4 linked regions of the Rhinolophus ferrumequinum genome follow. The protein of the gene in region 2 interacts with the protein of the main gene of each other region in a pairwise test. Links are inferred from orthologs where the notes say so. Each region holds a gene or a part of one and is shown on either strand. Other genes may lie near its edges.

The links.
Region 1: the proteins of GOPC (region 2) and MYOCD interact in binary tests that used the Homo sapiens proteins (3 or more experiments, as listed by UniProt). The two-hybrid records come from large-scale screens. The link is inferred for Rhinolophus ferrumequinum from reciprocal best matches to the Homo sapiens genes GOPC and MYOCD.
Region 3: the proteins of GOPC (region 2) and MYLK interact in binary tests that used the Homo sapiens proteins (3 or more experiments, as listed by UniProt). The two-hybrid records come from large-scale screens. The link is inferred for Rhinolophus ferrumequinum from reciprocal best matches to the Homo sapiens genes GOPC and MYLK.
Region 4: the proteins of GOPC (region 2) and RHOQ interact in a two-hybrid assay, tested with the Homo sapiens proteins (2 studies listed by BioGRID). The link is inferred for Rhinolophus ferrumequinum from reciprocal best matches to the Homo sapiens genes GOPC and RHOQ.

The regions. Positions count from the first base shown.
Region 1 is NC_046304.1:7,061,261-7,068,571, reverse strand, and holds the start of MYOCD (myocardin), read left to right. Parts: upstream 1-4,291; 5' UTR 4,292-4,585; coding exon 4,586-4,640; intron 4,641-7,311. UniProt on the Homo sapiens protein: Smooth muscle cells (SM) and cardiac muscle cells-specific transcriptional factor which uses the canonical single or multiple CArG boxes DNA sequence. Acts as a cofactor of serum response factor (SRF) with the potential to modulate SRF-target genes.
Region 2 is NC_046286.1:68,269,926-68,276,999, forward strand, and holds the start of GOPC (Golgi-associated PDZ and coiled-coil motif-containing protein), read right to left. Parts: upstream 3,019-7,074; 5' UTR 2,798-3,018; coding exon 2,510-2,797; intron 1-2,509.
Region 3 is NC_046285.1:48,354,293-48,361,823, reverse strand, and holds the start of MYLK (myosin light chain kinase, smooth muscle), read left to right. Parts: upstream 1-4,529; 5' UTR 4,530-4,690; intron 4,691-7,531. UniProt on the Homo sapiens protein: Calcium/calmodulin-dependent myosin light chain kinase implicated in smooth muscle contraction via phosphorylation of myosin light chains (MLC). Also regulates actin-myosin interaction through a non-kinase activity.
Region 4 is NC_046296.1:39,054,043-39,061,850, forward strand, and holds the start of RHOQ (rho-related GTP-binding protein RhoQ), read right to left. Parts: upstream 3,010-7,808; 5' UTR 2,890-3,009; coding exon 2,748-2,889; intron 2,182-2,747; coding exon 2,123-2,181; intron 1-2,122. UniProt on the Homo sapiens protein: Plasma membrane-associated small GTPase which cycles between an active GTP-bound and an inactive GDP-bound state. In active state binds to a variety of effector proteins to regulate cellular responses. Involved in epithelial cell polarization processes.

The sequences.
Region 1 (7,311 bases), on a different chromosome or scaffold from region 2:
CACCTTTTAAAAACTGATACATTGAACATTATTACCTGGATTTCAAGTTTGTGTGAACAACTGGAAGGAATGGCAACAAGTGTCTGTAGCCCCTCCCAAATGGCTATAGTCAACTAGAGCTAGTCACGGTTGGCCCGCGTGGACAAGCCATGTGCTCTCAGTTTGCAACATACCCCCACCCCACCACATTCTCTCTTATTCCTGGTCCTATCGCTTGAGTTTGCAAATCTGCCTTCATCCTGTATGTCCACCAGGGCACTTGCCAAAGTGACTTGCCAAGATCTCTATGTACATTTTCAATGAATGGATGAAAGAGGAACAAATGGTCCCCTGAAGGTGCTCATCAGACATGGGTAAGAAAACAAGAAAACAGACAAGCGGGGTGATACCAGGAACAGACACTTAGGACAAGAGGATGACAAAACCCAAGAAGACAGTAATGACCTTGAGTAAGGCAAAGGGCTTGTGCTAAGAAGGGGAGAACTGGAGGTCCTGAGGCCATACCCACGAGCTGTCTCTCTGCTCACCACCCCCTGCTCTGTGACCCGTAGCTGATCTCATGCTGACCCATAAGGAGGTTCATAAGGGGTCAGAGTTCAAGCTCACTACCCTGAGCTGTGCTAGGGACTCGCGCCTACGGACAATCACTCTCAGTTGGCTAACGGCCAGGGACCACAGCTGTGGAAGGCAGAACTCTACAGTGAACCTCAATGAGTTGTATATAATCCTTATATAATCCTTCAGCAGAGGAAGGGCTGGCGAATGTGACAGGTGACACTGTCATGATTCAGTTGTGTTAGATGAATGAATTAAAGAGATTTTGCAGGTCTCATTCCTAATTATCATACTAATTAGGAAATTAGTATGCTTTTGAGTTAATTAAAAGGGAGCCTACCCTGGGTGAGTCTGACTAAGCCAATGAGCCCTGTAAAAAAGAATTCCCAGAGAGAGATTCTCCTGCTGTCCTTGAAGAAGCAAGCCATGGTGGGTTCTAGAGCTGCAAGGACCTGAATTCTACCAACAACCCGTGGGGTTGGAAGAGGATGCTGGACCTCGGAGGAGCCCACAGTCCCAACCAACACCTTGATTGTAGCCTTGTGAGATCCTGAGCAAAGGACCGGCTAAGTCAGGCCCAGGAAACAGTGTGATAAGAAATGTGTGTGCTGTGTTAAGCTGGTAATTTGTTACACAGCCAGAGATAACTGAGGGCAAAAGAAAGGCAAGCCATAACAAAGGGGAGGTTTCAGGATTGCTTGGAATCAGCAAGAATGGTTGGCGGTAGGGGGAGGGTCAATGAAGGAGCCTAACGCATGCCAGCAAGAATTGTTCTGGGCCCTCCAAATGTATTGTCTCATTTAAACTCTCCAATTCTTCTGGGAAGCATTTCTAACTCCATTTTATGTGAAAATGCTGAGGGTCTCACAGGACTTAAATAACTCATCCCTGGTCACAGAGGCAGCTTAGATTCAAGTGAAGCTACTCCTGGTGCTAGAAGCTCCCCTGTCTGCTCTACCTCACATCCCAGGCTCACTGCAGGCCTCAGGAGAGCAGGTCACAGAGCACCAAGGCAGAGAAGTGCTGCCCGGGTGATCAAACTGTAGGACAGAAGCTGGTGGTGGCATGCTGTTGCTGCGACTGTCTGCTGCTCCCAAAGCACAGCAGGCTATGCTGTTCCCCTTGGAGACACCCTCATCTAATTCCACCCCAAGTTTTTTTTTCACACACACAAAAAAATGCTCGCATGGAGAGGGGCAAGGATGAGCTTCTATATGAGCATATTTATATCCGGAGATATTCCATGCCATAGGGGGTATAAATCCCAGAGGGCAGACATCAGCAACTCCACAGCATAATGGGAAAACTGAAGAGGGCTATGGTTACCAGCATTTCCCAAATGGACTCAGAAAAGAAGCCTCTCTCTCTCTCTCTCTCTCTCTCTCTCTCTCTCTCTCTCTCTCTCTTTCCTCCCCCCTTCCCTGCCCACAGAGGAAAAACAATTTACTCCTGTCCAACTCATCTAGGTCATGCAGACCCTTACATTCAATGCTGGCTTCAGCTGTTTTTATCAGAACTTTCACTGAAAAAACTGTTCTCCGCCAAGTTGCCTTCTCAGCTCCGCAACCCTCAGAACAAAAATCTGTTTGGCTTTCCTTTGTTTTAAATGTTACTCAGAATAGTTTTTTCTCTACTCAGATAATTCAGCAATGTTTCCTATCTCACCAATCTCTTCTCCAAAGAGTATCTCCCTGCCCCAGGCATCGGCAATCTTGCCAGGTTGGTTCCAGGCTCCTGTGTATCCCCATTTCCAAACCTCCCTCCACTTGACCTGTTTTCATTGAAGACCAGGAGCCTGGAGCTCAACTGAAGACTAGAACATGCTGGTGGAAAGAGGGCTCATGTTGTGCCACAGGCAGAATAGAGCCCCCTCTTTCCATGTTCACGTTTTAATCCCGGGAATCTGTGACTATGCTACATGACATGGCGGAGGTGAATAAGGTAACAGATGGGATTACGGTTGATGATCAGCTGACCTTGCACCAGGGTTTATCCAGGTGGACCCAATGTCATCACAAGGGTCCTGCAGAAAGGGAGAGGTCAGAGCCATACCACCTGATAAGAACCTGACACCCCGCTGCTGGCTTTGAAGATGGAGGAAAGGGCCACGAGCCCCGGAACGAGGAGGGCCTCTAGAAGCTGGAAAGGGCAAGGAAACAACGCTCTTCTTAGATCCTCCAGAAGGGAATGCAGCCTGCTAACACCTTGGTTGTAGTCCAGTGAGACCCATTTCAGACTTCTGACTTCCAGAACTGCAGGAGAATAAATGTGTGCTTTTTTAGGCCACTTGTTTACGGCAGGACGAAGAAAGTAATATACTCTATATGGGAATGTTACATGATCACTGGGGTGCTCGTGACCTCTCATCGGGCTGTACACAGCCTCCATGACTAGGCCACTGTTCCCAAGGGGTGCCTGGGTGGGCTTGCTCTGCCTCCTTTCTGACACATCAGGAATTACCGTGGCCCATCACAGAAGACCTTATTGATGTAAATGGATGGGCAGATCCAAACTGTGAACTCGAGAATCAGAGAATTCAGACAGAGGCCCAAACTCAGGGCATTAGAAGTTGTCCCCTCGGGTCCTCACCTGTCACCAACTGCTCTTTGAAGGGTTTAGGGTCTCCTGAGACGTAAGCAGGCATTTGCGTAACACATGATATCTGGAAGCCTATGTGCGTGTAAGATTGCAGATAAATTCAACCCAACCAAGTATATATATATGTACATATATACTTTGGTTTTTATTTTCTGTGCCACCAACTATTAAGCAGCTTCTTGAGAGCAGGGTCTTCATTTTATTTATCGATGAGCCTGTAACACCTGGATGCACAATAGCTCAGTGTTCGATTTGGAATGGATTTTTCCCTAAGAAGCACTCACTCATAGGAGCACTCACTCACAGGAAAAGCCTTGGAGCCTTTCCACGCTAAGCCCCACCCCAGCTCTGTCATCACCCTGCTGTAGAGACCCCTCCCCTCCCTCCTCGAGTCCCACCTTACTGAGAGCCCAGAAGGTCGTTCAACTCCTGTGTCTTGCCCCGAACGGAGAGCATTGTGTCCCGGCCGGATCTGCAGACACACTGAGTCATGCTTGTCCAGAAAGCGCATATTCCAGAAAAATGAAAGGCTTTTTATTTTCTCCGTAGACGTGTATCCGAGTCTGATATTGGAACTGAGAGATATATACAGTCTCTGCCTGTGCCCTGAGCCCCTCAAACAGGGAGAGAATGTGGGGACTCTGGTCTGTTGGAAGCTGTGTTTACCTGCAAAGGGGTCCAGCTTATCTGGTCTCTCAAGGCGCGCGCGTCCCTTCCCGGGTATGAGATTCCCGCCGCGCCCGCCTCCCAGGCTGCAGCCAGGAGGCGGAAAAGCCCGGGCGGTTCCCACCGCCCAGGCCCAGCCCCAACCCCGGGGAGACTCGCATGCCCGCCGCGCCTGCACAACGTGCAAGCTCAGGGGCTTTGCAGCCCTCCTTTCTGTCCTTCCGGCTCCTTAGCTCTGCCCCTCGCCGGTGCGGGACCCAGGCCCTGCCTCCCACCGCTGCGCCTCCGCGTCCGCTCAGCCCTCTGCAAAGAGTTAAGACCCGGTTCCCGAGACGCCTCCAGCTGCTCCAAGCGCCAGGTCCCCGCTCGCTGCTGCTGATTGGCTGAGCTCCTGTCAGTAGTAAAAAAGTATCAGATAGCAAACTTGGGACCTTCATAAAGGCGTGGTGGTGATACTCCGCAATCGCTGGCAGCCTATGACATCAGCCGAGAACGCCTGGGATGCCGCTGCCCCTGGCCAGACACAGGAGGAGGAGGGTCCTGCCGGCTAAGAGTTAATCAGCCCCGCACAGCGAGGGGGGAGCCGCCAGTTTTCTGGGGACACTGGTTTCGGTCACTGGCTGCCACTGTACTACCCAGGGGAGCTCACGAAGAGTTGGATGAATTCTGGTTTGTTAGCTGCGGTCAGCTGGGCTCCCGGGAGCCTGTTCCTGGTGGAAAACAGGGGGCGTCTGGCCAAGGGACCAGCGGCTCGCTGAGACTCAACATGACCCTCCTGGGGGCTGAGCATTCTTTGCTGATTAGGAGCAAATTCAGATCAGGTAGGGCTGAGGCATTTAGCATTCCTTCTTAAACTTTCCTCTTCTGCACTTCTCAACTCTGGACTGCTTTCCAATAAATGTCTCAAGGCCGGCCGTGGCGACTTCAACCTTGTTCCCCAAAAGCACATTTGGAAGTGAAAATCTTATTTGACTTTGGGGGCCTTTGATGTTTTCCATTTTAAATATTGTGGGTTGATGAGTGTGGTTTTTTTGTTCGGTGAGGCCAATCTTTTCCTTCTATTTGTTTTTTCTGTATCTGCGAAGAGAAAATTTGGAGGGGTGCATCCAAAAGGAACAAGTTTGAAAATGAACAAATAAGGGATTTCAAGTTTGTGAGCTGCATAATATTAGTTATAATTGCTGAGAAGAAGAACCTATGCTGTGTATTAGATTACAGGGGTCACTTAAAATGTAGCTAATCCAAACAAATATTATTTCCCAAAAAAGTCACCCGGGGGAAGTAAAAATAGCAAATTTGGAGCACACCAAGTATTTAAAATGACATCACTGTAGAAAAAAAAAAAAGAAGTCCAGTGCCACAAATATTTTTTTCCCAAACCATCTGATATTTATAAATGGAGAATTTCCCCCCAAATTTCTGTGTTAGTAGCGCGTAGAGAAACTTCTCCAAGGACGCTGAGTGAAGGTGAGTGGAAGGGAGCTGGGAACTCAGGAAGGGTGGAATGTGTAGGCGCCCATGGAACGTCTGAATGTGTGGGGCTCCTTAAGTTCTTTCTCCATAGCTGTGTGTATAATACTGGTTTTATAAAAGCGGTAACAAACCACTCAATAAGTGGCAGCACTCCTATTTCGAAGATGAATTACTGTATGAGAACTCGGATGTGAACATTCCGCGTAACAGGTGTGAGAAGGATGCTAATGTAGTTGGCTAAGTTTTCCTGAGCCCTTCTAAATGGGACCACTCTGTTTTACTGAGGAGGGGTGTTTCAACAATGACAAGAGTGGATGCTAAAAAATCAGGGTTCTGTGACTTCCTTAGATGCTCCTGGCCTTTAGGTGTCTGTGGAGTTTGTTGGAGATTGTCTTCGGCTCTGTACTATTGAAAGGAGATGAAAACTTGAGAGCTTAGGGGGCCACAAGACTCAGTGCCCTGACGCTCCAGGGTGAGTCTGCCAGCCACTGGGTTTGGCTGTGGTTACCTCCTTCCTTTCCTTCCCATGGCGAGGTGAGGTGGGTTGGTCTGTTAATCCCGGGGAAACATGCCACTGCTTTGTAATTTGGTCAAAACCGCAGGCAACACTGCCACCTTTCTGAAGAAGAGAGACTGCAGATTTGTTTTGCAAGAAGCTGCGTTGGTTTCAAATGCACCCTTGCCAGTTCATGTGGGGGGCAGAGGAGGGACAGCTTTGTCTCTAAAGGGATTTGGTGAGGGTACTGGATAGAATGGCAAAACAGACTTATACAAATCCTTCCTGCCAAAAGTGCAGACCAGAGGGAAGATAATATTTGCACTGCTTGGAATTCCTCTCTTAGTGGACTGGTAGGGTTTTGGTGTCTCCCAGGTAGGTCCTAGAGCTTCTGAGAATTTCAATTGCTGCCTCATTTTTTTAAAGCTTGGACAGGTTTTTGTGTCACAGGAAGGGTAGCTTCAGGAAACATGATGTCAAAACAGACACAGGCATGCTTCATCCTCCTCCTTGGATAAATAGGGAAGCTGAGCTCTGGAAATGGACAAAGTAGTTTGATCATCTGATGTGCAAGAGGTTGATAATCTGAAAGAGAAGAAAAACAAGCAGAGTATAAAACTGAGTAAATGTAATATTGAAGACAGTGATTATTCTTTCTGGATATAATTGCAACGATAGCTGCACCAGCACGGAAGTCTGGCTGGCAGCATGTTAAGTAAAAGGCCTCTTCCTAAGAGAACCTGGTTTACTTTGTGGCTAACAGTGGATAAGGAAGTCTCGGTTTTGATTTCTCTCTCTCCCAACCCACCCCTCCCCCTGTTTTCTTCTTTTTTCTTTCTCGAGCTACTCAAAATGTAAACTTATAAAACTCTATGTCAGTGCTAACGTTTGCTTTGATAGACCCTGGTGTGACATATTTCATTACAAATATTTCAAAAAAATAAAGGTAAAACTAAATTGCTCTCTGATCATAGCGAGACTCCCTATTTGATAGGGCTTGTTTATTAGTGAGCAGATAACTAACTACTTCAACTCTGAAATTGACAAGTTTGGCAACGCCGTCCAGCCAGCTTGATGTACGCTGTATATGAGTGACCTTGTTATTAAACACAAAATCATGCCGCAGGAGCAGTAAACTGTGAAAGTTTACATGTACGAATGTGTTTGGTGATACGTACTCCGCTTATCTGAGAGACCGCAGTGTTTCACAATTGAGTGTGTGGATCTAGAACCAAACTAGCTGGGTTATTAACAAGCACCTCTACTTGCTAGCTGTATAACCTTGAACCTTAGATAAACTACATAATTCTCTCCGCCTTAATTAGCCTCGCTTGAATAATGAGAATGATTATAGGGTTGCTGTGAGGATTAAATGTGATTATACAAGTAGAGCATTAAGGACAATGCCTGGCACTTAATAAGCCCTCAAAAAATATTGTTTTATTATTAATATTGTTAGGCAGCCGGAGTCTGCGTTGGTCACTTCCTCTCTGAGTCTTGCTTACTTAATCAAGGTTGGGCTC
Region 2 (7,074 bases):
AAATATTCTGAAATTCGTTGCCCTCCCCATTCTCTTACAAACATCCCTCTCCCCAAATATAACTTATGGCAAGAAGCAGTCATAGATGTCATTTATATTTAATTTTTAAATGTAACCTATGATTTTTTTTTTTTTGGCAGCAACATTGTTTTCCTAACTACGACATTAATATTAAACATGGTGCTACCTAAAGACACGATGACTGGGTAGAAGAAGGGGCAGTCTGGAAGAGCACTCAAGACCAATTGAAATGTAAGTTATCCATAATTGGAGATATCTGAGACTTTATTACAAAAATATTTTATTATGGTAATGTGGTTTAAGGTATTAATCACTAAAACCAGTGAACTTTAAACTTTGGTGCACGTTTGTTATACATCAAACCGTAAGTGGCCTCAAACAGTATGCCTTCATGTCCAAATCTTTCGAACAACAGAATTCAATCCACTTACTAAGAAATACAATAGGGCAAGAAAGCATGGACATGTGTTTCTGAGATTTCAAAACCTCAGAAGATTGATAACATTATACAGAGCAACCTCTGAAATTTTGCAAATGATATAACAGCAGATCTACTTTGAAAAGGCACTACTGACAATGAAGCTCTCCTCAGCAATACACAACTAATTTCATAAACACTGTAGAAACTACTAAATGTAGAAGGTTAACCCCACAAAGAGATGAGCAACTGTAACTGAAAAAACATACGAACAAAAAAATCATGTTTAGCCTCTTCCCCTCCCATTTTCTAAGACATTTATATCAAGGGTTTCAAGCATGTTAAAAAAATGTATGCTCACATTATGATAGGCTAGCATTTCTTATTTCGAGAAATAACGCTACTTCCTAAGTCAGGACATGGAGTCAGAATACGTAATTATAATTTCTGGAAAAAAGAACATGAATAATTTATTATAGCTCTGAATCCTCATGTAAAATATTAAAGATGAAAGAAATTAAGCACCACCTCCTACTCAGAGAACTATCCTTTTCCCAAAATTAGATTTTACATCTTACATCAAAATATCACTGTTAAAGTTTCCTTAGTCATTTAAAACATGAATTAGATATTGTTTCATTTTTTAAAAGCTATTTATCCTTAGTAGATACTTTCCGTTGTAAATGATATGAAAGTTCTCATGTGGCAAAACCTACTCTTGCTCTGTTATTTAAAACTAGAGTACTATTAATAAAAATCATCAAATGCAATTTCATTACCTGGAAAAATAACTATCTTCTAGAAACTATCACTAATCAAGAAATCAAGAGACATTTTTATATATCTAGAAGAAAAAGTGATTGGCTTCATATTAGCACTTCCATTCCAACCTTTTCAAAACAGATGGAAAAAAATTAACAGTCCTTTCATTGGAGAAGTCACAAAATTTCTGATATGCAATTCTATACTAATCAAAAATTATACCAACTTTTTCATGACTAACAGGAAACAGAAAGAATGCTAATGGCTATGCAAGGAGAGGATGCATATCTGATATTTATATTGATATGAATCCAATGGGCATTCTCTTATTAAAACTGGTAAGTAGCAATGATGATTTCTTAGGAAACCTAATGTTCAAAGAGCTTTGCACATCATTGATTATCTTATTTTTATGTACTTTAAAATGAAAGACCCATTCTTACACTTAAAATAACCTAGTTAGAAAAAGCTCTTTATGCAATGTTAACCTATGATGATTTCTAAATATTGTAATAATACGCTAATTTAATTTTCTGCACAATGTGGTAGATTTTTTGTTTTTGTTTTTTGTACCCACCACCACTCCACCCACAACCACAACCAAGATTAGAGACTAAAGCAAATGATCATCGTTCACACACTCTCAAAAATAAATCCTGACTTTTGGAAATATAGTCAAGTACAAACAAAATCTCAATGTTAGAAGTCATTTGAATGATTGTAGGGAGCTCTGGTGGTGTCGCCTGTAATTTAAGGACTGTAAACCGAGAAGGACATTGATACTATTGTGTTTATCCCTCTAAATTTTCCTCAGCGCTTTTATCAAATTCCCCTAAATAGTTCATGCATGCAGGGAATAGTATGTCTGTGTGCAACAACAGACGTTCATCTGAAATGGTTAAAAATAATCAGGACAGTATCTGTCTGGATATACAAACCTAGTTTATCAATGTGAAAGTATATCTAAAAACCCAAATGTTAAAAGATGGGCGAAGGTATTCCTATGACAGAATCTTTGAGCTTAAATCTTAGCTTAATGTAATATGTAGGTTGGTGCAATTCGTTCCTGTTGCCTCCTCCTAGATATAGAAGGAAGGTGGATGGCAGGACCCAGGGAGACCTAACGTCGATCTACACCCCCTTTCCACTCCAACCTCACCTCCCTCTTTTCCTTCACACAGACACAGACGCACTCTCCCTGACATTTGAAAGCCCAGGTGCCCCAGGGGGCACTTTTCTAGGGTCGTTTCACTGACGCGATCTGATGACTGCAGTTGAATGCCGCCCCGTCCAGCGCCCAAAGCTCACCTCTAGCTTGTGGTTGATTTGGGACACAGTTTGGGCTTTGTGGCAAAGCTGCGCAAAGCAGGAGCTCAGGCTGGTCATCTTCTGTCGCCCCTCATAAGTGATGTCCGCCTGGTCCGGATCGATCTCGCCTAGAAGCAGATCCACATCCACGAAGGCCTTGTCGAACTCCTTCTCCAGCACCTCCAGCCACCGAAACATGGATACCCCACCGGGGGAGACGCCCACGGCGCAAGATGCGCTCCCTGGGGCCCCTCCGGCTCCTGCCGGGCACGGGCCGCCCGCCGACATGGCGCCGTCTAGGGCCACTGCCGACTACTGCTGACCCCCACCGCCCACCCCGCGCTACAGGAACTGCTGGGACTGTGAGGATCCCCGTGCACGCACGCTCCTTCCGTCCCGTCCCTTCCCCTCGCGCGGCTAACGTTGGCAATGCAGCCCCGAAGTGGCAGGAGCAGCCACCCTGAAGAAGAGACGGTGGCACACGGAAGAATCCAGCAGCCCCACCACCCGGTCAGCCCCGACTGCGCATGCGCAGCCAAGACCTAGGCGGGAGCAGCCGGAGGGACGTAGTGGGCGGGGCTAAGATGCGACCTTGGCCTATGAAAAGCCTCTGCAGGGGACCGGCCCGTCAGCGGCCATATTGACAACTGGCAAACTCCCTCTTGAATGCGGGAGAAACGGAGGGGCATGGTGTCCCCTCCAATTTGGAAAGGCCAGAGGAAGAGAAGGATGTCCATGTGTCGCCCAGAGGAACGACTTCCGCCTGTTTGACTTCACAGTGGGTGGGAGCCATTCTAAAGTCCGGGAAAGTTGTGGCGGTGACGCCCTGTAGGCGGGGAAGGGAGAGTGAGGATGGGCGTGTGAGCCTGCGCAAAGGCCACGTTTTACCTTGAACATCCCAGTTCCTGGTTAGGGTGGGGTGGGTGGACACACTGGCTCATCTTGGTAAACCAGGCCCTAAATTCACAGTGGACTCTGCACATTGAAGGACTGTGGTTGACCAGGTTTTGCTGAATTAATAGTTTTGTCTTGTGATTAAGAGTCAGGCAAGCTTGGATTCAAGTCTTAAACCCTGTAACATATCAGCTGTGCCATCTTAGTTGTATTCTCTTGAATACAATCTTGAAGCCTCAGTTGCCAAAATTCACTCCGTAATGTAAAATGCTTAGCTTCAGTGCTTGGCATTTGGTATTCTTTATTATTACACTACAGGTCATTTCCAGAAACTACTTAAAACGGTGTGTTTATTTCAAAAACTGGTACAGTGTTCCCACACATGACATTTCAGAAAAACAAAATTATGACGATCTATATATTCATAAATATATTGAATGCAGAGCCCTGCTGAGGCATTGGGGATACAAAATGGAATAATACGTAACACTCAAGCAGAGCTCAGAGGCCAGTGAGTCTAATCCTCAAAGCTACAACTTTAATTTGAATTTTGCAGTACCTTTGAGAGTGTTTAGCAACTGCTCTTTGCTATTCTGCGTACTCACTTTCAACCCCCTTCCACCTCAAGAGTAGCCCAGTCTTGGAAAACGAAGGAAAAACCAATCTGAATAGTGTAGGTTGATAGGAACTGCCTCTCCATTGCCTAGGGGGAAATTTTACTGGCAGGCTACAGACTCTTCTGTGATCTGTTCATGGGACAGACTCTTCCAGTTCATTACCACCAAAGCCTGCACTGTGTACCCCTTGCCAACACAATGCCAATGAAGAATAAGAAATCATAGCTTTAGTTTGCTCTCTGGGTACTGTATGGCAGACTGGATAGCATCGGTCAATAAAGTCCTTTGGCTTGGTTCAGCAAACTTAGCTAAGCAAAACTAACCATGAGATCCTTTCCTTGAGCTGAAATAGGCACCTTCATATAGGTTTTAACACACAAGAAATAACATAAAATTTGTGTCTTGCTCCATTACCTTCCCAATTAACTTTATTTTCATCTGCAGTACTTGCAAGAACATCATTACTATAGCTACCAAGTTCCCAGCCACCTTCTCTTGTTAAACTAAAAAATTTTAACTTCCATGGCTGAAGGTCTTTCTTTAAGTAGTGTTTCATTGACCCAAACATGCTAGCCAAAAGACTGGTCTTGGAGCATGGAGTCTGAACCACCAGCAAGCAGCATGGCTAGGTAGAAAAGACAACATGTCTGTCGTCCCAGAGTTTTGCAAGTGTTTTTATACATCAAATATGGGAGAGGGGGAAGAAGGAGATAGTCTGAAAGAATTTACATGAGCTGTAGGCAAAAAGTTGGGGAAAGGTGAAGTCCCGGGGGCAAGTTTTGAGATAGCAGAGTCCACATGAAGAAATGTCTGCTAGGACACCAGTCTAGAAAGCTCACATATGAGCAAGAGGAGGCTCCTGGAGTTAGGTGGTGGCTGGCTAAAATAATCTGCAGAAATAACCACCTGGAAATTAATCTGAAATTCCAACAGGCAAAACAGGGATGTGAGAAATCTTTTTGTTAACTGGTCAGCAGCCATTAGCAGACTAGCAATACTGTCACTTTCTCTTACTTTCCAGTCGCTGTAAATTAATTTGGACCTTCGCAGAAATTTTTTCTTATAACTTTATGCATAATATAGTTAACAATGTATTTTTCAGGAATTTGGAGCAAATAATTTAAAATGAGGTGGGGCACATAACCTGGAATCACAATAATAGCTTTCCATTATGCAGTGCATACTATGTGTTAAACAAGTGCTATTTGTTTACTTCTTTGACTCTCACAAAATCCTGTGAGGTAGCTATTGTCACTTTTTTATAGATGAGTCACAGAGAACTTAAGTATCTTGTTAAAGTAATACAGCTAAAAGCCGACTGAGGTGAGATTCCACTCTAGGTATCTTTTCTTCTAAACTCTTGAAAGTTAAACACGGGTTATAGAAGGATGAGGGAATCTATTTCTTGTATAAGTTACCAGTATTATAAATTGGCAAATCAGTCAAAAAGGTTTTTCGAAACAATTTCTTCCCAGTTGTAGCCATATGCGAATCTATTAAAAAATATATCAATCAACTTCCTGCTATATTGTATGGGTAGTACTGAAATGTATTTTAAGTGTTTATATGTTTCCAGTGCTCTGATCCTTGGTGAATACCCCCATTTTCAGGATTGTGGAATCCAATTAGCTTCTGTTTCCAATCTTTTCATCTTCAACAAGTCACATCCTGTGTCTCAGAATACTTTCATCTCATATTGTCCCTTCTCATTACCATACTATGTAGCAACTACCACATTCCTATATACTTGCTATCTTGGTGCTATGTGACTAATTCAAATACGAGGTGCCCTCTATAGACATTTTTTACCCACCTTGATTGGGGTTTTGCATTTCTGCAAGTTAAATTTAACATGCCTGTGAAAAGCAGGGTTTGATGTTCAACTGCTGCCATCTGTTGGCTGTGCGCTCTACCTACATTTTTTATTTTGACCTACTTTGGAATTGGGAATTGTATTAATCTCAATACTTATGGGATTTATTTTCCTAGAGGTAAAATCTTTATACTTATATTTGCCATTGCATTGGCAGAACCTTCAATAACTGTTTCAGGAATCATGCTTACATGATTAAAAATTTCTAGCATAACTTAAATGTGACAGTCTTGTTTTAGGAACTTACCTAACAGTTTCACCACAAGGTATTGCTAGGAATAAATAGGGTGGGGACTGAGGAAACTGAAGAAGAAAGATGCTAAAGATTTCTTTGGTAGGTACTGGTAATTAGCTGTGAGATTAGACTTCAAATATTTCTTAGAGCATCATTAAGTCCCTGTAGCGAATGGACATAGAAGTTCTACTTTGGACTGGAAAGGGGGACTACCATTTAATGAACTCTACTGTATACCAGGCCCTATATTAAGCTTCACAAGTATCATTTACTCTCCAATGTCCCTACCAGGAAAAGGAAAAGCTATTAAGTAAGTGCTATTGGTCACAATAAATTGTTTTATATATTAGAAGAAACCCAAGGAAAACCCATTAACATTTTGCTTAAGATATGTGGGAAAAATTCTGGAATATATCATATTCATATGTATTATTTATGTCATATTTATTCATATTTACTAACAATTTGAAATTTTGTGATAGACATACTAATGAAGTACGTGTGGGCATTCCACAGTGATTTAGTGGCCTCATTCTCCTGATCATTTATATGAGATCTGACAATTAAGTTCGCGAACTTGTGGCAATGATGTTACTAACCTTTTTTGATATCAGAGGGATTATTCACTATGAATTTGTACCAACTGGACAAATAGTTAACCAAGTTTACTACTTGGAAGTGCTGAAAAGGCTGTGTGAAAAAGTTAGACGCCCTGAACTTTTCGCCAACAGTTGATGGCTCTTGCATCACGACAATGCACCAGCTCACACGGCACTGTCTGTGAGGGAGTTTTTAGCCAGTAAACAAATAACTATATTGGAACACCCTCCCTACTCATCTGATCTGGCGCCCCATGACTTCTTTCTTTACCCCAAGATAAAGGAAATACTGAAAGGAAGACATTTTGATGACATTCAGGACATCAAGGGTAACACGATGACAGCTC
Region 3 (7,531 bases), on a different chromosome or scaffold from region 2:
CCTCCTCATTCTCTCCTCCAATCATCCAGGTGTTATTCCAGCACAGAGCTAATGTTTTCCCGGGAGAAACAGGCCATGGGAAGCTGGCGTCATCTTCCCTAAATCACATGGAGAGGAGCAGGGGCCACGCTGAGCAGCCAGGCCTGCGAGAGCTTTGCTCACAGTTCACCTGCATCCGCTTTCTCAGACTTGAAGGGGCCTCCCAGCACCAGGTCCTCTGGGCCTGTTGCTTCAATTCATCAACATAGGGCCAGCTTTCCCAAAAAACCGAGGGGCAGTGTGTGCTTCAGGGGACTCAAGAAGGGATGGGACATTCCAGTCTCAAGCTAGAGAAGCTGTTCAGAGCCCCCTTCAGGGCAGGGTGTGATCCGCAGAGCGCGAGGTTCACTTCCTCCCTAGTCCTGCTTGTTCAGAACTGTCCTAGGTTTCTCCAAAGACTAGAAGAGGGGCGGGGCACACTGGTGACCCTTCTCTTTACTTCCTCTCCCTCCCCTTTCTAGATCTTTCCTCAGCCCTCTGACACTCCAACATCAGTAGCACCATACCCTGTGGGCTGCCCCAACCCACCCGCTAGCCTTCCTGCCTGCTGCCCCCTACTCGAGACTCATGTTTCTAAATAACTCAAATGACTAAATGTGGGCTGAATTCGGGGAGGGAGAGGAAGAATGAAGTAATAGAAAGAAAAGGAATATATTCCATTTACTGAATGATACGCTCCATTAATTTTGCTATTGATGTTTGTCGCTCTGCTAAGTACATCTTAAGTACTTACTCCAATGCCTGGCACACAGTAAGTGCTCACAAAACAGTAACTATTACTGGTTGTGTCTTTTTCTCCTTTTTCCCCCCTAGGGTTTCTCCTCAGCTCTTTCAGCCCCAGCCCCTTTCTAGACAGACCTGGCAGCTGGCCAGAGGCTGAGCAGCTGAAATAACTGCATAGGTAGGTGCCTGTTACTAGCACTGTCCTAGGCTTCAGGATCGTCCTGGCCTGTGCTGGTATCCTGCAGGTGTTCCGTGAGGACCAGGTGCGCCTGCCGGGTTTGGCTCTCAGGCCTTGAAGCCTTGCATGGTGGGCCCAAAACAGCAGTCTGTGGTAAGGAGGGCTTTGCCTCCTACCTGGTGTCTTGCAGCATCTCATTCCTGCTCTGGGCGTGGCTCCTTCTGCTGGGACCTTTCCTACCTGCCCAGGTGTGCTAAGGAGAGCTGGCAGCAGTCCTGGAGACACAGGTGCGCGAGGGCAGGAAGGGTCCGGAGAGGCCCTTCAGACCATGTGGGAAAGACTAGAGAAGGGAAGGGACTTCCTTCAGGTCACACAGCCGGTTTGGGGTGCAGCCATAGTAAGCACTGGAGTCGCTGAGTCTTCTGTACTGTTTTCCCCTCTGGTGCTGCCTCCTGATTTCTCCCGTGCCGGCCCCTCCTCGGCCAAGGCTGCCTCTATCCTCCGAGCTGACAGAAATCGTAACACAACAGCAGTGTGAACAATAATAGCCACGTGTATTGAGCGCTTCTTCTGTGCCAGTGAGTGGGCTCAGGCTTTTCATTCACCCTGCTGGCCCTCATAGCAACCCTGCAGATGGGCAGGAGGTGGGATGATACTAGCCCCATTTGACAGATGAGTAAGCTAAGGCTTTCAGAGATTGTCGCTTCCCTCAGGCCACATGGTTAGCGGTGAAGAAATGCAGTGTCTGACTGCAGAGCGGTCTGTACCCCGCTGCGGGGCATCGTGGGGGTGTGAGCCACGAGTACTGTTCCCGTGGCTGCGCTGATTTCCCAGGCTCCTGCGAAGTGAGGTGGTGGGGCTGCCCCTACCTCCTCGTCTCGTGGGGTTTCTTTGGTATGGCTTAGCAGACTGGAGGGAGGAGACCTGGTGGTGGAGAAGGGGCTGTGGATAAACACACGTGTGACCCCAAACTTCCATCTGCACGGATGATACCTGATAATAAAATGAGCGAACTTCAGGATTGTTGCTAGACTGTGATACGAACGTGCATTTTGCTAATTTAGTTATCATCGGGGTTTCTGGCTTTGATTTCTTTTTGCCTGTGACTTTTATTGCAGGAAGCTTCTCTCAGCCTGTTCTCATTACATCCCAAATTAAGCAAGAATCCCAACAGGAAGAGAGCAGCTTCAGGAGACCAGGCCGCACTCGTTCACACTGTGTGTGCGGTTTGATTCGATCTGTGTGTGTGTGTGTGTGTGTGTGTGTGTGTGTGTGTGTCCCCTTTTGAGAAAATTTAAAAATAACTTTCTGCCAAAGATGTGGGCACTCTGGATTGTGTTGCTGAGCAGACGTCCTCCTCCCACCCGCGGTCTGCTGCTGTGCTGACGGGGCAGCTCATCTGCCTGCAGAAGCCCGGCCCCTCCTTTCATGTGCTTTCCAAGAGGAAAGGCCCAGGAAGCCATGGGGAGGGAGAGGCTGCCGGGTGCTGAGGCAAGAACTCAGCTGTGGGGACAGAGCGGGCTGGCTTTGCATGATTTTACGTGGGAACCCAGGGACCTGGATAGAGTTGCCAGAAGGAAACCAGAGAGGGTACTCAGGGCAGAGCACCATTATGCCCGTTTCACACACGGGAAGACTGAGAAGTAAAGAGTAGAAAGAATGCATGAGTTACATGGCAGGTTTCGAGCTAGACTGGCACCATGTGTCTACAACCAAATCCCCATGGGCCCCAGAGGGGTAGATATTTTATTACTGTGACTTGTTCCCCTACTGCTTTCCCTACGTCCTCTCTCTAACGTTCATGAGATTCCCTAGCCAACAAAATTAAGTGGCATCATAGTTTGGAAGTGATTTTTTTTTTAGCCCAAAGGTCTATTCATTCATATATTCCACAGATTATCTTTTGAGGACTTACTATGTGCTCCTCAGTATTTGAGGCATTGGGGATATAGTAGTGAGCGAAACACATAGGACCTGTAACCTGCGGGGCGTGCGTTCCAGTGGGGAAAACAAAAGTTGATCCTATAACCAACCACACAGCTCCGTGGCTGCCAGCTGGGATGTGTGGGACAAACACCACAGGAGGGATTCGCTGTGTGCTCCTAGCAAGGGCCGTGGCCTAACTCCCACGGGGCCAGGAGTCCCTGATGAGTGTTTCCAGTCAGCCGTCTTGTACTTGGGCAGTTGTGTAGTTTTTGTTTTTGAGCTAAAGTATAGGCATTCTAAAATTGTTCTTTTAAACATCCTCTCAGGCTCTGGTCCCTTTTGCTGATCTTTCAGGGGGGAATTTAGCATCCAACGTATTAGCTATTCCTACTTGCTTAGTGTAACCCACAGGTTTGATAAATGCACCTTCCGAGATTTTGTCCAAATGATTGTCCTCAGTTCCTTCCGATCTCACATGACTTTCCAGTCCTGTTGCCCACTACCAGGGACCACCGTCTAGGAAGACTTACATTCTATTCGTCTCCATTCCTAGTGATGAACACCATTGATTTTTTTGGATTTATTTCTTCTGTTATTCGCCATTGAAATATTCAGAATATGTACCACCTGCAAGGTCTTCCAGAATCTGGGGTGTATATTATGTTTTGGCCAAGGATTTAATTGACTTAAAGGTGTTCTCTTCATCAGTGTCCGTCTCAGGCTTCAAAGCTCTCTGGTCCACATTTGTCCAACCATTCCCTTTAGAAGAAAACATGGAATCAAATTATGTATTGATTCACCCACTGCCCTACCTGTCCCTCAAAGCTGCATACCACTACTCCTAGAAAACCACTTTTCTCTGTCCATGTATATCTGAAGGAGGACAGAAGTGAGAGCGGATGGTGTGACAGGGAGAGGAGGGACACAGGCTAAAGCAACGGTGCTCGAGGTGTGCCCTGTGCCAAGGTGAGCGTTGCACAGGATGAGAGAGTCCACTGGAACTGTGGACATCCTTGTGTCCCCTGGAGGAAAGGTGCTGGGCTGGGCGTCACCTTGCCACCGCCTTTTAGAGGTATGCCCCAGGGACTGTTCCGGGAGCTCCCCAGGGGTCGGGACCAGGGCCTTTGGATCCTGTGCATGACGGGAACACAGTCTGTAGGACTGGTTCAGACCTCAGCCCAGATTCCCTGAAAAACAATTGCAGCCTGGAGTTCCCCCTTCCATCTGCTCTCTGGGCTTGCCTCCCGTTCAGGGATCATAAATGGGGCTTGCTCAGTTTAAGGAGGAAAAAGCGTGGTCGCTGGAGACAAATATCCCACGAGCCCTGGGTGGTAATCCTAGGCCGGATGTGCCAAGGGGTAAGTTGGGGTTCCAGGCCAGATGTGGGGGTGTGCCCAGCCCCTCCAAAGTCTCAGCACTCTCCTTGACAGCGTCCTCCCTTTACTCCACACTCAGATTGGAATCTGCAACGCTGTAGAAACCCGTAAGCTTCCACCCCTGGTTTCCCCGGGACTCCATTGAGAGCCTCCGCAGCTGGCAGCCAGGGGTTTCAAAGGTCACCCCAGCTGGGCGGATTAAAACAACAGATCTGCCTGACCCAGTGAAGCTGGCTGCCCAGCGGAAGGCAAGTTGCAACATCTGCGAGCAAAATCAAACGCCCTTTAACTTTTTCAGTCAGACCCTGGGCTCAGTGGCCTCCCTGTCTCTCCTTTCCTTTCTTCTTTCTCGGCCGGACCTTGGACAGGAATCTGTGCAGTGCAGTGGTAAAGCGTGGCTGCCCCAGCGACCCGACTCATGTGAGTTCTGCCCAGGGGAAGAGGCCAGGTAAGGCATGGTCCGTTCTCCAGTGTGTGGCCCTGCACCACTGTGTCCCGTGGGTCACAGCACATCAGCCTGGCACAGCCCACAGCTGAGGAGAGGCCTGCGTAGGGATTAGGGGCAATTAGGGAAATTGTCAGGATTTGAATGCACAGCAGAGGATTAAGGGGTGGACAGGGGAGAGTCATTGCCTGGGGCGTTTGCATCTGGGTGGTTTTACTGCAGCTGATGTGTGCTGTGGCAGGTCGCTCACTGCTGAGAGCTAGGCTTCCAGTGCGGAGCCTGCCAGGAGCCCTTTCCTGTAGGGAAGGCAGGGTCTGTCCAGGATGCCCTGCTGCCGGATCAGGTGCTTCAAGACTGCGATCGTTTCAAATGTATGCACTTTCGGGAGGGAACAGGATGACAGCTGGTTTCGATAAACTTGTTCTGCCATAACTTGATCCCTGATTTTTAACCTCTTTTTCTGAGTCTTTTTGCCTCACAGTTGCACTCCGTTTTGGCATAGTTGAAAGTGTTTCTTTCTGGGTTCAAGAGACAATTTAAAGTGCTTCTGATCAAATTAAAGTCAAATTAACTTAGTGCTGCTTTGAATGATCAATATATTCTGTTACTTGTGGAAACAAGTAAGATGTTCAATAAACGTATTTGGACGTGAGCTTTGCCCCAAGTATTGTGTGTGTATGGGTGTGTGTTGGGGTGGGGAGGCCTGCTTCCAGCTCTCAGACCGCTGTTCTTTTTGACCCCACTCCTCCGTTTTTCTCTCTTCGTACTTTTCTGTCCTTCGATCTGGGTGTAACTGGTATTGAACAAAACCCCCTAGTTGGTATGTTTAATTCCAGCCACTGAGCACTGCTCTGCTGCTGAGAAAATATTGCAGAAGTTACCCAGGCCTCTGGTCTTCTCAATGGGAATGTGGTCACCAGGCTGGAAGAGGGATTAGAAGGGAACAAGGATGGTTTGATTTTTTTTTTTTTTTTTGATAGAGCATTCCAAATATGTCAGTAACTATTAATTGGCAGTGTGGACGGAATCTGTTTATTCTGCTGATGGCAGTGGGCGGGGCGATGGGCTGAGCGGAGCTGTTTGGTGTGTCTGGCCCGCCTGGGACGGGGCTCTGGTCCTGCTTGCATGATGGTTAAGTATCTGCCCCCTGCAGCCACCTCGCAGGGGACTGGATGTCTTCTGGCTGTATCGACTTGCCTGTTTGTTCTGTTTCTAACCATAACGCCAGACCTCCCCTAGTGCTGGGTGACTTCTGTCTTCTGTGTTCTTGAGACCAAGGACGTTTCTTTTGATGACAGTCTCTGGGGTCTTCGGGAGGTTTTAGGTGGACCCCAGAAGATCTTGGATCAAGAGGATTTGTAAAGAGGGTCATGAGCCTGATGTCACCATGCGTAGTTTCCGGCTTCCCAGAAAGCAGAGGCAGAAGAGCCTCGTGTCTTCCAAAACCAGGCCTGAGAGTAGGGAGGCGACACGTTCCCTGCCCCCCACCCCTTTTTCTCTCTGCAACTCCTAATACTCCTCTCTGCAATAGCCTCTGCGTATTTCATCCTTTTTACTGGGAATAGCATGAAATGGCTCAGCAGCGTCGTGGGGCCCTCCAGGAAACGCGCAGGGTTTGACTGCAGTCAGACTTCAGTTTGATGTCCACCTCTTAGCTGTGTGACGTCAGACAAGTGCAGTTGGCTTTCTGAGCCCGTGTCCTCATTTGTACAAGGAGCATAGTCAGAACTGCCTTGCAAGGACTGTGGGAACCGAGTGAGATTAGTGCCCAGCATGCTGTGAGGGGCACATTCTCTGCCCATGAAACGGGGCTGGAGAACGGACACGCCAGTCCTTCTTCCCCCCCTTTTTGCGGAATTCTGCCATCTGCCTCCTACCGCTGTTCTGCAGCAATCCCACTCTCCTACCCTTGTCCTAAAGATAATCATGCTGGCCTGGGCGTCTTGCTATCCTTGGTGAAAAGGGTGGGGACACTGGTTTTCCTTTGGGAGCTGAGTGACGATGTTGACAGCTACCACTTACTGAATCACTTTTATGCTGTACTATGTGTTTTGCATACACTCTCATTCAAATCCTCCCTTCAACCTTGCAAGGTTGATATTATCATTCCCATTTTACAGAAAAGGAGACCGAGGCCAAGAGAGTTGCAGTACCTTGCCTGGTTCACAGCAAGAAAGTAGCAATGCCCCTGGATTTACGGCAGGGTCGGACCCTCATGATCCCTGCCCCCACCGCTGGTGCTGTCGGCACAGAGTGTATCTGTCACCTCACTTCAGTGGCAGTGGGGGAGGGCAGAGGGAGCAGTATCCCCTCTGGGGGACCGTCCTAGGTAGCTCTGCAGGATATAAGAACCCCATTCCTTCCCTACCCACGTTACCACATTCAACACACACACACTTCAGTGTCCCTAGCACCTAGCTTGTCACATGGTAAGATGTTCAATAAATATATTTTAATTGAGTGAATGAATATATCCTGATTCTTGCCATTAAAGATATATCATGGTTACTGTGAAATGGTTCTGCAAACACATACACCAACACACCAACACAATGATATAAATATGGCAACATGCTAATTACTGGATCGAGGTGATGGGTATTTGAGGTGCTCATTTTATTTTTCTTTCTACTTTTCTGTATGTTTGAAATTTTCCATAATAAAACTTATTTTTAGTTAAAAAATTTTATATTATTAAATTCCTGTCATTGTTTACCTTGTAAGTATGCACTCATATAACTGTCTGATATTCTATTGTACTTAACCAATTCTCACTGTTAGATGAGGGTTTTTTTCTATTTGTATTTAACTGGATTATTTTCCTGTTTCTTTTGTTAAAAATAA
Region 4 (7,808 bases), on a different chromosome or scaffold from region 2:
CATTTGAACCTAACGAATAGGTTGATCCGATTTGTATATATTACAATCTCCACGGGAAACAGAAATTATGATGACATATGGAAAGCCCTGGTTTTGTGAGTGGGCCCACATTTGGGTGACTCATTGGATCTGAGTTCTCTACTCTGTAGGGGTGGCATATAACCCCCACTCAGAGAATGGCTGTAAAGATTCCAGGTACCATATCTACAGACACACAAGCAATCCAGACAACCCAAGTGGTATCTCAGCACCTCCCATAGTTTCCTGTGTATATAACCACCGCCAACTGGGGCAGATTCAGGTCCTAATCCCAGCAACACCTCTCAGTAGCTGTGTGACCTTAGGTTAGGTTAGCAACCTAACTTCTCTGAGCCCCAGATTCCTCATCTGCAAACACAGAAGATCACCTATCTTATAGGGTTGTTTTGTGGAGAAAATAATATTTGCATGTGGCTCTCCCAAGCCTGATATGCAGAAAGAACTCAATAAATATTAGCTGGATTTGAATGTGCACAGAATAGCTCTGACATATACAAGTCCTGCTGAATAGGGCTCATGGTCCAAAAATGGTCATAGTGACAAGTAAAGGAGAAAAGGAAAGAGGGAGAGTGACAGAAATTAAAATTAGAGACAATTTTTTAAAATCACTCTCTTTTCAACCAATAATTTCAACCTGTTGTTTATCAACTGTACTGCTGAAAACTTGGTCTTATCTGATTGAACAAGTTCTGCCTCTTTACCCCTCCATTCCTTCTGATAGAAGGAGTGACAACTACAAGACACAACGAAAAGGGGCCCTGAAGAACTCACTGTACTGACTTGAATCAGTTTGGTGAAAGGGGGCAGCCTCAGGCACCTCTCACTGCCAACAGTTTATCTTCAGATGCTCCTCTAGCTTAATTGTTCAGAAACCAGAGGCCGTATCAAGGCTATCAAGGCACCCCTCCCCCCACAAGACATTTTTCAGAATCTAACCTGGTACCACAATTCTGAAACCCAAAACCAGAAGAGCCACAAAGGACAGCTCTCCTTTATTCAGCACCAACCTAGTATGTGTTAGACTCAGTGCTAAGCATCTGGCATATAATATCTGCACAGGAGAATAGTCTGAGTCTTTTAAGCCTCATTTTACAGGAAAGGAAACTACTACTGGACATCTCCTAAAGACATTCTCTAAGCCCCTCAGCTCCTCATATGTCCTCAAGGACTCAAGTCTGTATGACAGGTGGAAACTTCAGACCTAATCACAGGGCTGGATTCTGCAAAACTTCATCACACACAATCATCTTAGCCTCACAGTAAAAGTGGGTGTGGGAAGAGGGTTAAGCTGGGACAGAGAGAGAGAGAAGAGACATCTTCATCTTTTAGGAGCCACCTCTAACTTGCAAATAATGGTCAGAGGCTACCTGGAGGAGTATGCCATTTTCTTTCTGCACAATAACCTCTCCCAGAAAAAACCCAGACAAAAGTGACCTGGCATTTCCAGGGGAAAATGAAAAATAAAGCTCTTCTTCCAAGACTCACAGTGAATTCCTAACCCTTCCTGCCCCTCCCTGCTCCAGAGTGTGGCTAGATGGTTATTGTTTCTTTTCTTTTTTTTCCCTGTGGTCCCCTGGTAACACAAATTACGTTTTCAGGGACTGGAGTCCCAGAGTGCAGTGATGTTGTAATAAACATAACCAGGACCAAATGCCTTCCCATCATATTAGATGATGCCATTTTCCACCAATCAGGCTCCTCCGGCGGCAGACCAATCACCAATGAGGGACCAGACGGAGGCTGTGAGGGGGAGACCTGGTCATCTGCAACTAAAAATAAGGGCGCTTCACGATTGGCCGCTGCCACTTTGCAACAGGAGTTGGGACCCACACACCAAGCACCATACAGAAGGCACACACAGGCAAAAACTTTCACAGCCCGGGGGTTCATATGAGGTGGGCTAGTCTGGGGTTGTTGGGTCTTTTTCCTTTTCTTAATTTGCTGACTTGAAAAAAGACTTGATCCAGAGGGGCCCCTCGCAGGCACACCTTCCCTCCTAGACACCTCAGTTTCCAAAGGCCCTTCGCAGCCACCCTGAATCGAGAAAAGGAAAGGGGTGTAGGCCAGGGGCCAAGACACTCACCTGTCCGGCTGTGTCATAGAGTCCCAGGAGGTACTGCTTGCCCCCTACGGTGACGCTGACTGCAAGGGCAGAAGCGGGGGCAGAGAGAAAAGCTCACAATTACTCTGGAGCAATTTCGCTCCCCACCAGGACCCTCCTTTCCCAATCCAGCTGGAGGCAAGAGGGTGCTCGCAAAGAGATGTCATCCCTTTTCCCTTGCGCCCGACTCACTGTGAAGTGGCTTGAGGTTCGGGGTGCAATGGGGCCCCTAGCTGCTCACTCCCTTCTCCCAAGTCCCTTAGCCACGACTCTCTCGCCCAGTACCCCCAAATGTTTGGGGCAGTAGGGGAGGCGGTTGTGGGAAGGTCAAGGAGGTCGGCCCAGGACGCCAAAGGGGTTGGGAAGTGCGGGGAGCTGGATCTGGGCGCGGGGGTGGGGGTGGGGGATAGGAAGACGGGTCCGAGCTGCCGGCGAAGGGGATGGCTTAGAGGCAAAGCTTGGGGGTGGGGCCGGGCGCCTGGCAGAGGGCGCGGCGGGAGAGGGGTAAGGAGAGTGCCCAGGGGAGGCAGCGAGGGGGCTCCTCCAAAGTTGCTCTAAAGTTCCCGGCCCGGGGAGCGGCCCCTTAGTCAGCAGTTCCGACTCTTACCTGCGTAGTGGTCGAAGACGGTGGGCACGTACTCCTCCGGGAAGGCGTCGTTGGCATAGCTCATAAGTAGGCACGTCTTGCCCACCGCCCCGTCGCCGACCACCACACACTTGAGCATCAGCGCGCCGGGCCCGTGAGCCATGCTGCAGCCAGCCGGCCTCCGGGCATGGTCCCCCCGGAGCCCCCGCCCCGGCCCCCGGCTCAGCCCCAGCCCGCCTGGGGGGTCCGCCGCCGCCGCGGCTCCGCGCAGCAGGACCGCCCCCCCGGCCCCATACAGCGGCTCCCCCCGCTGGAGGGAAGGAGGCGGCGGGCCCGATGTGCTGCCGCCGCCTTGGTTGCTGCGCGGATCCCTGTCCGGGCCCCGGTCGCAGAGTCCGCCCGCTGCCCTCGCCGCTCGGCTCCCGCGCCCTCTCCCCAGTCCTGCCTCCCCAGGAGAATCCGCTGGATCATAAGACTGTCCGGCCCCGGGGGAGACCGCAACTTTAGGGAGGGCAGAGAGGGGAGGGGCCAGGCGGCTCTGCCCGCCCCGCGCCGCGCCGGCCCCGGCCCCCTCCCCGCAGGGCCCAGGAAGAGGGCGGGCCGAGGCACCTCCCCCAAATGCGGGCTCCTGCGCCCCGCGCCCTGCACCCCGCCCGCAGCAGCCACTCGGCCCTGCCGGCTCACCCTAGCTTGACTCCCCGCGAGGGCAGCGGAGAGGGGGCGTGGAGGAGGAGCCGAAGAGGAGGGAGGGGAGGTAGGTGAGGCTGGAGGAGGGAGTGGGGAGGGAAGCGCTTGGGAGGAGCCGAGGGTTCCTCTCGAAAGTGCCCGCAGCGCCCGGAAGCGTCCAAAGGCCCGGTTGCTGGGAGAAGACGTGGAGGCCTCATGGGGGACCCACGACGACTCCAATGACGCAATACTCATGCAAAATTGTACATATAGATTTAAACTCCACCCGGTAGGCAAGATCCATCCCATCGGCCTCTAAATGCACAACTGCTCTAGAAATAGGAAAGGAAGAAAAGACAAGAAGATTAAAAAAAATTTTTTTGAAGGCGCGCGGGGTGATGGGAGAGGAGTGGTGGTGGTCCCTGACTTGGAAAGTAGGTACTCTTCGATTATTGCTTGGGCCCCCTTCCCACCATCACCCATGCCGTTCACAGCAGAGGCTTGAATCATTTACTATGAAACTGGTGACTAAGGAAATTACAGCATCTTGAATCACTGAAGCATCCGCAACCAGCCAGAAAAGGGAGACACTGCTGGCTCTGAATGCGACAAATGTACCTGTATTCCCCTGGAGGCGACATTCTCTGAAGCCCCCTTGCAGTGTCCCTGGAAGGTGTTGTTAGGTTGTGATCCTTGAGGAGTGATACACTCTTGTGCTCTAACACTTGGCCTGTGATCCAGGTGGCAACCCCTTCCTGGGCAAAGCTTGGAAACACTTGGCTGGCCAGATCCAGTTCACTGGCCAACAGTACTGCTTTGAACATTAGGCACTAGGGGAGTGAGGTAGGGGAGAGTGAGTACACCTCCCTCCTCTCCCCCTCCCCCCCCACAGCTGACCTGAGATAAATCACTTCCTATCATCGATTCACAGGATTAGAAAATGCTGCCTTGAGAAGCAGCACACAGGTCAACTGGATCATCTTCCTTAGATCTCCCTTACGTTGTAGGTAAGCAAACAGACCTAGAGAGCTGAAGTGGTTATCCCAAAGGCTTCCCTAACTCCAGCATTTAAGGACTTGGAGCACACTTTGCGAAATACTCACTGCTATATCCCCACGCCCCACTTCTTCAGTCCTCAACTCTCAAACCGGAAATCTGATTTCTGTTGTCGCAGGAAGATTTCCTGGATGATTGGAAGTTCCCTGTGGAGTCCCAGGCCACATCTCACCCGACCCCTCCATGTGCATCTGAGTGTGGGCATTTGCAATGCCTGCTGCCTTAGATTAAGCAAGGAATCCGAAAGATAACTTTGTATGTACTGAAGGACAGGTTAAGAAAGGCAGCTTTGAAGTCAGGTCTTGGTTTAAGACCAGTTTCTGCTGCTGCTTAGAGGGGAAGAAAGGAGGACTGGCTCCCTTTGCCTGCAATACCATTTTTCAGGCAATTGCTGGGATCACTATTCTGAAAGGAGGGTCTATCAGAAGAGGTTAAGGGGCTACTGGAGTACACTCAGCCAGGAGAGTGCATTTTGTCCCATCTCTGATGCTAGTTAACAGTGTTACCTTAAGCATGCCACTTCTCTAGGCCACGGCTTTCTCATCTATAAATGTGATTTCATCCATAAGAGTAAGATCAGGTCTCAGCCTTGAAACTCTAGGGCCCTCTGGAATGTGTTCTGAGAACTCCCAGTAATAGCCTTGGAACAAGAGGAGAAGCAGTTGATGGAGACATGGGGAAGGCCTTTATAAGGGATGAGGAGGTCTGCCCCAGGCCTGGAGGATGGAGGCTTCCTGGAGACTTCCTATTCAGGGCTCCAGCCTCCCAGTTCTTACTCTAGTCCTCAGAGGGGCAGACATTTACTAGGGATCCAGAGAGCTGGAGGATCAGCTCCAGAACCTTGAAAAATATCAGGGACCCCAGGTCCTGGATGCTCTGGGAGAAGCTCTGGGAATATCAGAGCACCCCACGTGAGGAACTGATGTCAGATGAATCATGCAGTGGTGACTTCATTGGTGAGAGTGATCTCATTCCTTTGGCCCGTAGAAAAGCCAAAACTGATTGCCAGTAATGCTTAGCGCTCTGGGCTGATTCCACCAGTGTGTGTGTGAAGTGGAAGGGGAGAATTATCCTGGATGACCCAGGTGGGCCCATGAATGGGTTAGCTGGAAAGACCAAACAGATCTTCACATAAATCTCACCTTCCTATGTGCAAAGAAGACAGTGTCTCAAGTGGATTAAAAAAGTCCTCAAATTTCAGGGATTGGGGAACAGAAAGCAACTGTTTCTAAGCCTCCTATAGGCTCTGTGCTCAATTTCCTTCCTTTGTGTCAAATGCAAATGTCAAAACACATTGATCGGTCTGTGTGAGGACAGTGAAACCTCTCCTTAGCCTTCTCTTTTTCCTGTAGTTCCTACCCTTCGTTGAGTATTTCATTTCACAAGCATTTATTGGGGTCTGCTAGATGCCAGGCTTTATGCCTGGGCAGGGGACAAAGAGCTGGAAAGCCACAGTCGCTGGAGGGAGAGGTGGAAAGGAACTGATGAGCAGATAATTACTGTATAATGTGATCAGTGGTGTGGTAGAGGATAAAGGACAGGCTTTTGGAAGTGAAGGGGAGGCTGTTAGTACCTGGCTGGCTCTGGATGTGCTCAGGAAGGATTTGCACAAGGGGGTGTCGTTGGGCTGGGGTTTAAGAGGCTAATAGGAGTAAGAGAAGAGTGCCTGGGAAACACAGCCCCAGACCACAGCAAGAAGGAACAAGCACGCAACCTCTTGGGAATGATGAGCCATCTAGGGTGGACAGAGTGCAGGATCAGTGGTGCAGAGGAACTGGTTTGTGTTTAACTGGGAACTGAAATGCAGCCAGTCCTTGGGCGTCTGAAAGCTTTGTTAAGGAGCGTGCAGGAACCCTCCTGGTCTGTGCAGTCTGAGCACCGTACAAAGGTAAAGGGAGAAATCTGGCCCACTTGACATCCATCCACAAAGCCATAACCCTGGCTCAAGGCTGTGTTCATTGGAAGAAGGAGCATTCTTTTCTTATCACAGATATGACTTCTGGTTTGTCAAACCTGTGCCCATAGGGCTGCGTCCACCCAGAGAGGGGCACCGTTTTCTACTTAGCAGAAGACAAAGGCACTATCTAGGTAAACAGTGGCTCTGGGAATGAGAATGTGATGAAGGGAGGAAAGGAGAACTTGCAGGACATCTGCTGTGTACTTGGCTGTATGCTATGCCCAGGCACTGTCCTGAGTATTTGATGCTCGCTTTTATAGGGCATCTTGTTTCACCTCCAAAGCAACATGCAAGATAAAGTTTGTAGAGAGTATTTGTTTGTCTGTCCAGAACAGCACCATTTGCTTCTGCTAAATATTCTTTCTAATTTAGTCTCTGTGATCATGTGGTTTAAATGGAAGGCGCCATCTTCTTATACAGCCTGCCCCCGACCCCTGTTGAGGAGCCCTGGGGTAGGTAGCTGATCTAAGATGGGGCAGTCTGAGCCATCCTTGAAAGGTTTGAATTTAAGATTCAAAACAGGAGTCTCCCCTCTTTTACTTACTGAACTGGAAGATGTGAGCCTGGAAACTGTTGGCCTTTCATGTTTCATGTTTCAGCCATTCATAAAAAAGCCCATCCAAGAAAATGAAGCTAAAATGCAGAGAGAATAAAAAATGGAGAGATAAAGCCCCCTTCTAACCAGCTCCAAAGATAGATACAGGCCATTTGTGAGTTCCTACTTCTGGGTATTCCCAAGACCCTGCTGCGCTACTGTTCTGCAGTTGGTCACTTGAGTTAATAAGTCCCCCCTTCTCTTTTTGCCTAGTGAGTATGGGTTAGTTTTCTGTCACTGGTAACCAAAGAAATCCTGACCATTATAGTATTATCACTGGAGTTCAGATAGGTGACGTGCAGAGAGATTAAGAAATTTTCCCAGTCCCACAGCTGTTAAGTGGCAGGGCTAGTTTTCAAAATGATCTGTCTTCAAAGCTCATGTTATTTCCCATTTTCCGTATCAAGGAAGCATCAAAAGTGTTTCAGTAAGAAAATGACAAGTTTAGAGTTGTCATTTGAGAAGAAAATGTATAGAGAATTTTGTCACTCTGGGAGTGGTGTAGAAAATGGATTTTGAGGGGATGAAAGTGAAGGCAGAGAGAGTGAAGAAGAGAAAAATCATGAGGGTCTGAACAAGCATGGTTCAGAAAAAGGAAGAGGCGGCCGTGGGTACCAGGGATATTTAGATATCAGAATCTTCAGGGCTTGATAACACAGCAGGAGAAGACCTAGGATAACTCGAAGGCTTCTATGTTTTGATTCCATCAATTTTCTCTCCCTCTCTCTTTTCCTTTTTAATCTCCTCTGTGTTTACCCTTTCTACTTCTTCTTTGGGCTTCTTCCTCAGTTTTTAAATCTTTCCCATC